Linked DNA regions of Lepisosteus oculatus. The protein of the gene in region 1 purifies or fractionates together with the protein of each later gene. This does not show direct contact. Links are inferred from orthologs where the notes say so. Each region holds a gene or a part of one and is shown in the gene's direction. Other genes may lie near its edges.

Region 1 (6,904 bases):
ATTGTGGGCAAAAAGTTCGATTTTGGTTTCATCTGACCAGAGCACCTTCTTCCACATGTTTGGGGTGTCTCCCAGGTGGCTTGTGGCAAACTTTAGACGAGACTTTTTATGGATATCTTTGAGAAATGGCTTTCTTCTTGCCACTCTTCCATAAAGGCCAGATTTGTGCAGTGTATGACTGATTGTTGTCCTATGGACAGACTCTCCCACCTCAGCTGTAGTTCTCTGCAGTTCATCCAGAGTGATCATGGGCCTCTTGGCTGCATCTCTGATCAGTCTTCTCCTTGTCTGAGCTGAAAGTTTAGAGGGACGGCCAGGTCTTGGTAGATTTGCAGTGGTCTGATACTCCTTCCATTTCAAGATGATCGCTTGCATAGTGCTCCTTGGGATGTTTGAAGCTTGGGAAATCTTTTTGTATCCAAATCCGGCTTTAAACTTCTCCACAACAGTATTACGGACCTGCCTGGTGTGTTCCTTGGTCTTCATGATGCTCTCTGCGCTTTCAACAGAACCTTGAGACTATCACAGAGCAGGTGCATTTATACAGAGACTTGATTACACACAGGTGGATTCTATTTATCACCATCAGTCATTTAGGACAACATTGGATCATTCAGAGATCCTCGCTGAACTTCTGGAGTGAGTTTGCTGCACTGAAAGTAAAGGGGCCGAATAATTTTGCACGCCCCACTTTTCATTTTTTTATTAGTTAAAAAAGTTTCAAAAATCCAATAGATTTCGTTCCACTTCACAATTGTGTCCCACTTGTTGGTGATTCTTCACATAAAATAAAAAATTTATATCTTTATGTTTGAAGCCTGAAATGTGGCAAAAGGTTGAAAAGTTCAAGGGGGCCGAATACTTTCGCAAGGCACTGTATACTGTCGTCTTTCCTAAATTCAAGCACCTGTGCAGCGAATCGTGACCCTCTGTGAGATGGAAATTACTTTGTGCAGTTTGCAAGCTGTTATGGAAAGCTGCAGTGCTTGAAGAAAAGTTTGGTGATGAACAAACCAAAGAAAAAAAAGTCACCCCTTTCTTGTGTGGAGCAAACGACTCCAAAACAGAAATTCTTCACATTAATTCAGTGCATTGAATTATAGATTCAGGGCACTGTGGTCCCTGAGAACTGAGAGGAAGTAAATTTGTATGCAGCAAAACACCAAGCTCAGAAAGGGAGACTGCAAAAACAACAGTGTCCTGCAAGGAGGCCTGGATCTGAATTTGTTGTGTGAATGCCAGAATTATTATTTTTTCAAAAATTATGTTAGATGGTTGTGATTTATACATGAGCCTAATTTTTACGTCCTTTTTATTTTGTTTATGTTTTTTTGTTCCTCTTCTTTAATTACAGGCGAAATCAGCTTCTTCTACAGTCACCAGGGTTGTGAAACCGCCAGGAAGGCGGCACGTCAGCAGTTTCCGTAGAAGCGAGGGGGGCCGCCAGGAAGCGCAGTTACAACCTTGGCCAGCAGGGGGAGTCTTTCAGTCATGCAGCGGTTTTTCCATCCGTCCTTCTAAAATCTGAAATCAATTATTATTCCTGGGAAAGGTTGCAGCTGCTGGAGCTTATCCCTGGGTTGGGTTGTTTTTATTATTAAAAGCAATTAACCTGTCATTTCTGGTGGTTATAATATAGAGCGTGTGATGTTTTCCCGAGTTTAACTGTATCAGACAGATACAAGGAAACTTCATTCGAAATTTCGTGCACACACAAAATGTTTTAGCAAGTGAATATACGCTAAAGTGACCTACTGTGGTGCAGTTAAGTTGAACTAAGTCAGGTGATACCGGGTGGGGCTGCACACTGGTGGTGGTGGAGGGGATCCTCATTACCTGTAAAGCGCTATATAAGTGTAAGCAATGATGATGATGATACTGATGATGATGATGATTATTTTCTCATTCTGATATCTATAAAAATCTTCGTATTACAGCCTCTAGGAGGCAGTAGAGGACAGCAGAGCTGTTGGACCGCAGGGGACAGGTGCTGTACCTGCAGCGGTGATTCATGTGCAGGTGAGACCGTACTCTGGGTGTGAGGAATGCGGGCGCCGCGGAGCATGGAGATTGTGCAGAAGGGTTTTGAAAAGCAAACAGCCAATACGTCCTGTATTCCAGGATGTTCTGTGTGAATCACGATTGTCCTCTCGCCATGGAAAATGCGCTCTGTTTGTTTCCTCAAAACGCCTGTGCTGCTCACCCAGTATGAACTCAGTGAAGGGTGACTCGTGGCGTGACACAGCGCCGTTTTCGGCTGCTACCATTAGTTTTCTTAGCATGTCTTAGACCTGCTTATGTTTTGAAAATCGCATCCTTGCGATTGAACCTAGCTATAATGTACTAACAATATAGGCAGGCAAGACCCACATTTAAATAAAGCGTGGATGTCTCTCTAAATGATGGCCCTGCCTATGAATGCCGTTATTTCACAAGAGCGTCTCCTGCCGTTTGGAAGCGCAGCTCTGTGTAACTGGGTGTCGGACTTCACAAAAGGGGCGCCCCTTCTAAAATTCACCCTACATTCACGGGACGCGCCCCCGCCTCCCATTGAGCACGCCGAAGAGTTTGTTCCGGCAGAACGAGGGATCTTTCATTAAGCTTCGCCCGCGGTGCCCCAGCCCGGCATTCCCCGAGCCTGACGACCCCGCTCCTGATTGTGTGTGACAAGCAGCAGGTGCGGGCCTGGTTATAATGGGAAAGGGGGTGGGTGGTGGCGTCTTAGATGTCTCTACAAATAGCTGTTCCGGCGGACCGGACTAGAGCTGCAACTGCTTCTGCAGGATCGTCGTCCTCGGTATCCCTATACCTTCCTAGCGCTCTTCAGCGGCTTCTTTACCATAGCCCTGAGCACTTGAACTGTTATTAAACTGTTCGCTCTATATAATCGTGCCTTTTAAATATGATTATTGGATCATCGGTTCATAAGGGCCAAGTAATAGGTTTATTCATAAGGGCTACTGCTAATGTGATACCGCCGGACCGGGGCGTATTCGGGAAAAAATATTAACTAAGGCAAACATGTTGTTTAAAAATCTGTATACTCATTATATTTATACACGTGTAATATAAACTTTCTCTTACTGGAACTGCAGAAGCACCCTTAAACTGCCGCTTCATTCATCACATTTTACTGGTATATAATCTGGTATCAAAAAATGACGCTACCCCCAATTCTGAAGAAGGCTCCACGGCCGAAACGTTGTTTTCTTTCTTCCTGTTTTCAGCATGGAATAAACCTATTACTTGTTCCTATAATCCTTTATTCTACTTGAAGATTGCCTTCAGTAATCTCATTCTGCGCCCTATTCAGAATTGGGCGTAGCGTCATTTTTTTAAAAGGATGTTTAAAAATGCTGAACTGAAATGTTTTTTTTTGCTGAAACATGCATCTTATTGCTCTTTAAATAAAGCAAAGCAGTTTCGCGTAGTTACTTGCTTACAATTCGCGGCGTCTTACAGCACCTGGGTGGTGTTTGAATCTAAGATTGTTCATATACGTCACAGGAGGAGAGGAGGAGCTGTTTTGTTTTTAAAGATTTAAAAGAGGAATTCTACCTTAAAAGCATTAATAGAGGGATGATTGCGACCCCTCTGCGTGTTATTAGCAAACCACCTGATTTCGAAGGAACTGCCGGTATTCGCTTAGTCAGCCACACGTGCTTAATGACACCCGAGTGATCTCTTTTCGTGGAGGAAAACCAACCTTTCTAAAAAACAAAAACCAGCATCTCTTCTCTGCGCTATGACAATTAGCCTATATTTTAACTTCGGTCACCTTGTCACAATAGTCCTTAAGTGCTATAGGTTGGAGACTGATTAATATACAAGAACATAACATTTAGAATCGCACGTATGGGTAATAAGTATAGATGCATGCACGCTGAAACACTTGTTTTTCAGGACTGTGTTTGGGGGAGAGGTTGCCCAGCGTGAGCGTCACGCTCATGTGACGAGAGACCGGGTCAGAAGGTGCCGGGTCTTTGTGAATACCGTACAGTAAAAACACGTTTCCGAAGGTGCTGGGCCAGTAAGTGAGTTGTAAGCCGGTCTATAAGAAGACGCCGAGACAGCCTGGGTCCCTTGAGTCATATACACGTGACGACGAGAAGTTTAAAAATGGGTTACCGTGTAACAGGCTGAAGTAACGTTCTGGAAAACTCGCTACAAGGGGGTGGAGAGACAGAGAGAGAGGAGGAGGGAGGGGGGGTTCAGGCAATTAAACTTTACACCTAAAATTGGGTGAAATGCAGGAATGCGGGCTGGGTACATAATGCACCCCCTCTCTATCAAGGTATTTAACTGCTACCTGCGTGTATGACTAAGTATCGAAGTAAAAAAAAATGTTAATATGACTCCGCCACCGAGCACTCCAAGACCGAGACGAAGGGGTATTTATTTTATTTAAAAGCATGTACAGTATGCATGTTCGGCGGGGAAGACCGTGAGACCGGCGAGGAACGTCAAAGCGAAAGAGCCCCGTGCCTGCACACGCTACACGCACGGTTCGCCTGGTGTGAGAGGAGAGCGGTGCCGACGGCGCTACTTCCACCGGCTGACTGCTGACGTTGATCCTCTCGGTCCAGCCTCTCGCCGGAGCGGCAGCAGCAGAGACCAAGCGAGGCAGCGCTGGGGTCGCGGCGTCGATTGGGTAGGGCCGCGGTCCTGCACCCCCCCCACTCTCTCTCGCTCGGTGAGCCCGGTGAGCAGTGCGCACTGGCCGGAGCCGGGGAGTCTCCTGCTACACTTCAATGGAGGAACAGCCCAGCGTGCGGGCACCTCAGCAGCGCTACCACCATGGAGGAGAGAGGAGCCCGACCCGGCCCAGGAAAACGCTGAAAAATGAGCCGAGCCACTGCCAGCACCACCACCAGGAAACGCAGGCGAAGAAAACAGGTCGGGTTTGCTTAGCTAAGGCCAGAAACAGCTGAAGATGGGGAATTATTTGAGCTGGAAGTTGGGTGCGTGAGTCTCCACTGTGAGACGGCGGAGGGTAGCTGTCTGTAATATGGAGATTGACCTTGTGCTGCCGGTTAGCAGCGATTCCTGGTCACTTTTTTTAGACGTATCTAAGGAGGGCGGACGCCGCCTGGCACGCTGGTTTACAGTAAAAGACTCTTTTCTCGAACTGTCTCGGGGTGGGTCGTGCGAAAGGGCCAGTTTTAATTGAGAAAATCGCGGGGTTTTGAGTGCTCGTCTCCCCCCTTACCAACACAAGCCGGCTCCGCTGGAATGTGCTTTTCCTCAGTTTACTCGGCTGCTATTTCCTGTCCGCCATGTTGGTAGCGAAAATCCCAGCACCGGGCTCTCAAACCATGACTTTCTACAGCTGTCGGTGCCGTCGTGGCACCCCCGGGAAGTTCAGGGGATTGATTTTCTCGTTTTGTGTGGTGAAAGTGGGCGCCAGCGTAGTATTTTACTGAGACCCCGGATCGCTCTCCTTGAGTCTGTGGGCCCTGTTGCTCTCTGCTGTTCCGGAGGCGGCGGCGGCGGGGGGGGCCTACAATCGGAGAGCCGGTGTTCAACAAAAATGCAGCAAAATACCCGCAAAGACGAATCTTCCAAAGATCCGATCAAACCAGTGTCGTGTTTTTAGTGTCCTGGGACGGTGTCCTTCCGTGCAAGGCCGCGCCGGAGACCCGTCTCCTCTGTCGGCAGCAGAGAGGACTTGACAGCCGCCCGCCCGGAGACGGGGTGCCCAGTCATTTTCGTTTTTCACGTAAAATAGGAAAACGGAACAGTAAATGAAAAATGTTTAAAATAAAGCCGCGAGTTACAGATGCACCTCAATGCTTTAAGATGGTTTTTTAGTTAACTTGGAGAACTGACCCAGTTTACGTTTTTGTCCAAAATTGGTAGCACATACTTTTTTATTTTTGGGAAGGTTGTTGTAGTCGATAATGAAATACCACGGGTCTCAGTTACCCTCTTCCCTCGTATAGCATCTTCATTTTCCTCGGGATATTTGCCCGTGTACCCGTTTTCGTGAGGCTGGTTGTGCTCTTATTAATAGTGGCCATGCTTTTGAGCTGTATGTACACATATATCATTCATAGGAAGCCGTGTGTGTGTATGTGGACACTTTTGGTATTTGGGGGGCGATTAATCTGTTTTAAATAAGCGTTTAGCCGACCAGGAGAAGGAACGTGTTGAGGCGGAAGAACTGCTGCTCGTGCAGTTTGTGGAGATCTCGCGTGCCCGAGAGCTCCGGCAGCCGGGGAAGCGCCACGCGAGGCGGAGCGAGCTCTTCCACGCTTCTTGGCAAATCCCAGCAACATGTTGCGGAGTCGCCTTAAGTCGCTCGCAAAAGCCAAACCGACGCGTAATGGGGATGATGGCGAAGCGGGGAGGCCGAGAACGCTACGCTTCGTGTAGTTTTTTTAAAAAAAACAAGTTGGCGTGAGGGCAGACGTTGAGTTCGTGTGCATCAGCACCACCACTCCTGAACCGCGGCGTGGAGAGGGTCCCACTGCGCCACGCGAACAGCGGGGAGAATCGATCACATGGGGTTTTAGTGGAGCGTTGCCCCTTTTTGTTTTCAAAAAGAGAACAGTTCTGGCGCCGTCACAGCACAAGATCAGTCAGATTATCACCATAGATCGCACATTGTTTTCCAAAGACACCACAGGCCCTCTCTCGCTCCTTTAAAGCTGCTTGTGGTGGACAGACTAGGGTCGCTTTCAGCGCAAGCGTGGGGTGGTTGTTCTCATTTCTACCTTCACCTTAGTCTTGCATTTGGCCTGCTGGGCTGGAGCGACTGGCTCACTCCTACCATGTCTAACACGTGTAGGGAGTGTAGCGTGCCTGTGAGCTCACTGGACAGCACGGTAATGGAATAGCACAGATTTGTATTTCAGTGCTAACTGCCACTAGAAAGATCCCCTGTGTATTGGATGGGACATAA
Region 2 (7,022 bases), on another chromosome or scaffold:
TTTCAGTTATATAGTTCAAACCTGTTGAAAGAGTACTGCTCTCTCTGCGCTGTCTTGTGAAAAGCACGTTTGTCTTGATTTTCTCAACAGTGGGGGTGGCCTCTCTGGGGCATTGCTGTGTTTTACATACTATATTCTGCAGGAGTCCACATTTATTTCCCAAATATGACTAGATCCTGTTTACCTACATCTCCTGCTTACAATGGCCACCTTCCCTGGGTCATCCGAGTCACTTTCTGGTCTAAAGAAATCAAAAGGCAAGAGTTATTAAGACCTTTTTTTCTTTCTTTCTAATATTCCCTTACATTTTCTCAGTTTTGTTTCTCAGGTTCCCTGCCATGGTGTTTATACAGGCTCTCTTAGTTCAGATGGGGTTTTGCTTTCGAGTTCGGGTGGTGGGGATGAGGGGTGTGCCGGGGGGCTCCCAGGCAGCGTGGACACCCCCGGCACTGGAAACCTGAGCCCCAGCTCAAAGCAGAGCAGAGGGGCCAGCAGAGCACCCCTCCGCCATCGCTGGGGTTGGGGCTAGCTTTCTTACCAGCGCCCCGCCAGGTCAGAGCACCTCCGCGCCGCTGCGCAGCACCAGCTCCCCGGCCGGGCGCTGGGGAGGAGGCAGGAGCGAGGAGCCCGTCTGGCCCTCCTCGTCCTCCCTGGGCTGGACTGGAGGTGGGGTCCGAGTGTAGAGCTAATTCGCCCTTTATAACGAGTACATTTGAATTCTTATTCACGCCTGTACTCTCAGCGTACAGACGGGTAAAGAGAACAATACTGTTTCTATTTAAGCCAGTACTACAAAATAATAATAATAATAATAATTAATAATTGCTTACACTTATATAGCGCTTTTCTGGACACTCCACTCAAAGCGCTTTACAGGTAATGGGGACTCCCCTCCACCACCACCAATGTGCAGCATCCACCTGGATGATGCGACGGCAGCCATAGTGCGCCAGAACGCTCACCACACATCAGCTATCTGTGGGGAGGAGAGCAGAGTAATGAAGCCAATTCATAGAGGGGGATTATTAGGAGGCCATGATTAGTAAGGGCCAATTGGAAATTTGGCCAGGACACCGGGGTTACACCCCTACTCTTTACGAGAAGAGCCCTGGGATTTTTAATGACCACAGAGAGTCAGGACCTCGGTTTTACGTCTCATCCGAAGGACGGCGCCTGTTTACAGTATAGTGTCCCCATCACTATACTGGGGCATTAGGACCCACATGGACCACAGGGTGAGCGCCCCCTGCTGGCCCCACTAACACCCCTTCCAGCAGCAACCTTAGTTTTTCCCAGGAGGTCTCCCATCCAGGTACTGACCAGGCTCACACCTGCTTAGCTTCAGTGGGTTGCCAGTTGTGAGTTGCAGGGTGATATGGCTGCTGGCAAAAGAGAGTATCTTCCAGTATACAGTAAGATACAACACACAGTATAGAAAACAATATACAATTTACAGTCTTGTATGCAGTGTAAAAAAATACAACATTCTACTGTAGGCGGTAATTGATAGCAGTCAGTCTGCATTTAGCTGTTAGTTAGCCTGAGTACTGTGGGCCCAAGCCAGATGCTTGGAAATCTGCAACCCTAAGATACAAAGCAAAGGTTCCCAATCCTGGTCCTAGAGGCCCACACACCTGGTTTTCATTCCAGCTGCATTTAATTACTTAATTGAAGGCTTAATTGAATTAAATAAGGTGCTTGATTGGAATGTTTGCGGTGCTCTCTAGACTCAAGAGTTTGGAATTTGATTTGAGTTAGGAAATGCAGTAGTTAAAAGGCTACCTCCCACAGGGTAACATCTGACAACAGCCACACAGTTCAGATTAATCCTGTGTGATGAAGTCCATTACAAATCCAATCATGTAACTGACGACGAGGATGAAAGAACAACCCCCAGGACCGAGGCTGGGAACCGCTGGTGTTAAGAAGCTCCAAAGTGTGTGTGTTTAAACTTAAAAATGACCGATATGTGTGTGTGTGTGTGTACAGGGAGGAAGGGGGCAAAATCCGTTTGTACGTGTCGCAGCGCACAGCGTTCCTAATTACTGAGGACACTGACATGGTGCAGATTGTACTAAGGCATCAACCTGGTGGCCTTCACACGACGGGTGTAACAGAGCACACATTGTGAACAGCTGTTCCCTGGTTTTTTTGGGGGAAGTGTGGAAATAAACTTTTCAAGAGTGTGGTGTGTCGTTTTAACCTGTCTGGCTATTTTTATTTTAAATGCAGTGTAGTGTGGCACATTACAGTCCCCGAACAAGTCGACAAAGGAATGTGTGGTTGTGTGATGTGAAGACGGCTACGGTACACCCCCCTCTCTGATTTTACACCAGTAAGAAAGGTATGGAAATGAGGAGAGGCTGCCCCCCCGGCCTCAGTACAAGCATCTCATCTGCAAGAAAAGGCTGAATGAGATCCTTGGATTGATTCATCCAATCAGCCCTTAAGCCCTTTGTATAAGTACCCTCTTCTACCCTCGCCTTTCCCGTTAGGTGTATTTTCATTTCTTCTACCACCTGCTTGTGAGACCCTGCCCCCATCTGCATTAAATGTGTCTGCCCAGATACAAACTGTCCCTAAGTGCTTTTTGAAATGTTATTTGCTGCTTCTTCAAATGAGGGTTAAACTCTTAACCCAGCTGGACCAAACACTAGCCCACCTCTGGCTCTCACAGCTTCTGTATCCCGGCAACACTCGCCAAGAAGGGGCGGGCCACTGTTAACGCCCCATCTGTTTTTGCCCACGTTGCTGTATTAGAAAGTACGAGTTGGCTCTTGTCAAAACGGCACCGTCAATAAGCCACATGCGACATGCTGATGTCTTGACTCACTCCTTGAGTGTCTCTAGCTGCCCCGTGCGGCTTCACTGAGCTCTTGATGTGAATAGAGGCTCCAGCCCGCCTGGAGGTCTGGGCCGAACGCGCTCGTGTGGCCCTCGGTCAGACTCGCTCTCCGGGGTCCCGTCTTCCAGCGGGAGACCTCCTCAGCCCCAGCGGCCTGTGAAGACTCCCACCCTGCCTGGAGGTGAACGCTAGGGTATCGGCGTGACCCAGAACCTCTAGGGGGCGCCCTACCCTCGGGTCCACTGTTTCCAAACCAAACCTTCAGTGTGGCTTCAGGGAGCACTGGGACGGAGGAGGTGCTGACCTCCGAACGAGACATTTAGCTCAGGTCCTGACCACCCGTTTCCCCACTGCTTTATCCACTGCAAGGTCATGGGGGAGCCCGAGTCTCTCCCAGAAAGCTCGGGACACCCTGGGTGGGATGCCGGTCCATCGCAGAGGTCCAGACTGCTTGGGCATAACAAAATTCTCATTTTTGCCTCGAATTTTTCAAAAACTTTAAGGGTGTTAGTGCCAGTATCCTGAATTGAAGCACACCGGTCTCTCGTACAGTCTGGTCTCCCTGCAGTCTCCCTTAATGGAACTGGTGATGCGGTTTCTCATTCCTCCCCCTGAACTGATGCGATTCAGAGGAGAAGGAACTGGTTCCTGTTGTGTGGGAAGCGCTCCGGGATAATCCACAGGGATGAGAAGTACTATATGCAAGCAAGGAATTATAATTTAAAGTGACATGAATGAGAGATGACTACGCAAGTCAAGCTCTACCTTGCAATAAATATGCACATCCAGCCCCAGCCCTGGAGACGTTATTCTAATTGGGGATGTCACTGACAGGTAACAAATGAAAGCGGGTCATACGGTCAGTAAAGACCGAGGATATCCGGCTTTAGTCTGCACACGCAAAACAATAAAAATAAAATTAAACCGGGGGAGAGGGATCAGTGGACGCTGCCAATTCGTGAAACGAAAAATGATATAAAGTGTTGCTAATTTTATGCAAACCGGTTAGAGAGCCGTGTCATTAGTGAGCTGTCTTTGCAGCTACAGCGCACACAGGCGCGCGCGGACCCTACCCGCGAGTCCCGCTGCCGAGCCTCGCGCCGGCTCACGTGGTGGTGGTGGTGAGGGGGGGGGGAGCGGGCGCACCACGGCCACAGGACCTCGGTAGTCCTCCGACTTCCTGTAAATAGTGCGCCGGCCCGCAACGCCGGCCCCGGCGTTTAAACCGACCCCCAGCTCAAAACCCCTCTTCCCCCGATCGGGTTCACTGAAAACCCCAGGCAGGCTGCGCTAATCTGGCCCCCAGGAGAGCTGTTAGGCGGCTGGAAGGGGAATTTGGTGGATGTACGCAGCATTGCGCCCTGGATATATCCCTCCGCTGTTTTTTGTCTTCTCTCAGACTGTTTTGGTCCCTTCGCTGATAGCAACGGAGAGAGACGCCGAAGAAGCCGAAAATCCTGTCTGTTGTCGCTAAAATACAACACAACGGGACAGGAATAACGCTTTCATTAGCTGAGGATCATCGACGTACTGTCTTTTAAAGAAGAAATAGTCTGTATTTTTTAATTGCGAAAATTAGTCGTCGGTAGTGTCATCGTTATTTTAGTTGTCTCTTTTTTTTTTTAGGTTGTATCCTTTACCAGACATTAGCCGATATACCGTTAAGTACGTTGTTTTTTTTTTTATGGGATCATCGTCATGTCCATGAAGCAGGCCGGAGGTAACCGAAAACCCGGCGGCGGCCCCGCTGCGGCCTCTGGTGCCGGGGGAAGCGGGGGAACCGGCGGACGGCAGAGCCTGGGCAGGTCGGTGCTTTCAGATCCCTTGACACCCCGCCGGCCGTGTCCCGGGAGCCGCGTTAACGTGGGTTGCCCGGGGGGGTTTTGAGGTTTGGGGGGTGCGAAGACGTGAATGTCTGTTGAAATAAATGTGAATGCTCGGGCCTAGCGCACCTTTCCGGGCCTCCTGCAGCAGCACGCAGCCTTCGGCTTTTTTTTTTTTTTGTCGCTGGTCAGCGTTATTGAAATGCCTCCTCGGTGGGAGCCGTGCCCCACGCCGGCTGGCGATTTCGCTGCGCGTTTGCCGTGGTCGGGCCCGGCCCGAACCTGCACGCCTCGCCTGCCTTTCACGGAGGTGTGTCTGCGGGCGGGACGTGAGCCCGTAGGCTGGACCGGTCCCTGCCCGCGGTGGGGTAGCGGGCGAGGGCCGGCGTGTGCCCGCTGTGTGGCGGGTTGCAAGAGGCTGCGTGCCCGGGGCGGCTTCTGCGGAGCCGCGGCGTCGGTCGCAACCGGACCTTCAGCATCTGGTGTGTGTGTGTGTGTGAGGACGAGAACCGGCACGGCCGTGCAGTCGGTGCGCTTTGCCTTGGCCGAGGCGTCAGGCGCTGTTGCGTTGCGCACACCGGCGTGAGAGCTTCACGTTTGAAGCGAGGGGCCCTGCTCCGCGCCCAGCCCTGTACCTCTGCGGCAGCCCGGTAGCCGTACAGGCCTTTCCCCACCCCAGCTAAGAGCTGTTAACTCTGCCCCCAGTGTAGCCAGCGATGCCTTCGGGGGGAGCCGCCAGACCCGGGCCGGGGCGCATCCGTGCAGCCGGAGCGGCCTTGCAGAGTTGCCCACCCCCCCATTTTAAATCCACTCGTGGGCCACATCCCGGCTGCGATCCGGGCTTCCCCTCTGACGCCGCCGTCAGTGTTTGAACGGGGTGCAGTGTTTTCTAGCGGCTTTGCCCTGAATCTGCTGGGTGGTGGGTGGGGAGACTGACCTGTGCTGCAGGTTTCGTGGAGGAGGGCAAGGGGTACCTTGAAGCGTCTTGCTGCATGGGCCTGCTCTGGCTGGTAACCTTTCATGCCGTTTTCCGCCTCGTTTTGTCTGTGCAGTGTTACCTTCTTCTCTACACGATGCATTAACAAGTGTGTATCGCTGTGTGAGGGAGGTGGGGTGGATTGAACAAATTACACTCGTGAATGGAGAGGCAGACCATTTTTTTTTTAAAGGAAGGTGGAGATCCTGTTGCGAGCGCTATTCCGGCCGATTTCAGTGAAAGCTGATTTTTTTTTAGAAAAAAAGGGTTTTCGGCAGCGGCTTCTGTTGTGACCTTCTCTTGTGCGGAGGAATAATGTTGGGGTTGCGTTATTGCTCACAAGTGGCGTTTTGAATCGTGTCTGGAAAAATGACTAATGAAGCTCTCTGCAGTAAGGTCTGGTTTGAATTCCCGGTCAAGGAGTAGACACGGTGATGTTTTCATCAAGTAGTTTAGATCAGGAACTATTAACCTATTGAGTCAACAAATACCTTTACTGAGCTGATAAAAGGGCGCAGCTGAAGCCCTGCATTTGAGTGCTTTGACATGAATGCTTTTAAAGGTGTAGTGTTAATATACTGTGTCAGTGGCCCGGTTTTGAGCTTTGCCTCCAGGAAAAAAACCCAGGGCGCCGAGTTGGGGTACGTGGGTGTACCTGCTGGGGCTTATTGAGTGGGCGAACTTGTGTTCATTGCTGAAATGGAGAGCCTTGCTTATCCTTACAGGTTCTTGGGGAGGCTGTGGAGAGCAGCTGACAACTTTCACCTGGTTTGTGTGCTTAGGGAATCGGATTGATCAAGATAATGCCTGGTTTATGCACTATTTGTAGTGAACTTGATTTCGATTTTATTTTACTGGGTGGCATGCTTCTGGGCAAACGCCTAATGAAAAAAATCAAAGGACGTCACTAATGACTGGTTTTCAGTTTGTCCTTGAGTAATGTTAATATACTATAGTTAAAATAAGATTAAGCCCTGTACTTCCATGTTAACTTCTTTTACTGAACTTCAGAATAATGTTGGAGGGGTTATTTCAGTGGTACTGTATCCCCATACATCACAGTTTTTATGTTTCTCACTTCTCACAATGATCAAATTTCCAAAGGCACTTCAAGGTCATTTTTATTTTTATTGGTGTTGGAATTTCGTCTCTAAGACGCTAAATTGGGATGTTTTAATTTAGCCAACCAGTCCATTGGAGTGGGGAGAAGCTCAGTTTCTAAAGCTGGAGCTAACAGTAGGGTTTTTAAAAATGACTTTAAAGGAGCACTTGACTATGCATTAGAAGCATTTTCTTGGTGATGCATTGTTTTTAAAGCTGTCACGTCATAATAGTTTAATAGCCATGAAGTCTAATGAATGGACCATAAATACATTAT

What was found. The genes of interacting proteins can lie anywhere in the genome.
Region 2: the proteins of nufip2 (region 1) and atxn2 purify together in Homo sapiens (affinity purification with mass spectrometry; 3 studies listed by BioGRID and IntAct, counting the BioPlex papers as one, with this or other methods). This does not show direct contact. The link is inferred for Lepisosteus oculatus from reciprocal best matches to the Homo sapiens genes NUFIP2 and ATXN2.

The regions. Positions count from the first base shown.
Region 1 is NC_090721.1:9,006,129-9,013,032, reverse strand, and holds the start of nufip2 (FMR1-interacting protein NUFIP2), read left to right. Parts: upstream 1-3,900; 5' UTR 3,901-4,751; coding exon 4,752-4,896; intron 4,897-6,904. UniProt on the Homo sapiens protein: Binds RNA.
Region 2 is NC_090717.1:12,985,558-12,992,579, reverse strand, and holds the start of atxn2 (ataxin-2), read left to right. Parts: upstream 1-4,010; 5' UTR 4,011-4,543; coding exon 4,544-4,650; intron 4,651-7,022. UniProt on the Homo sapiens protein: Involved in EGFR trafficking, acting as negative regulator of endocytic EGFR internalization at the plasma membrane.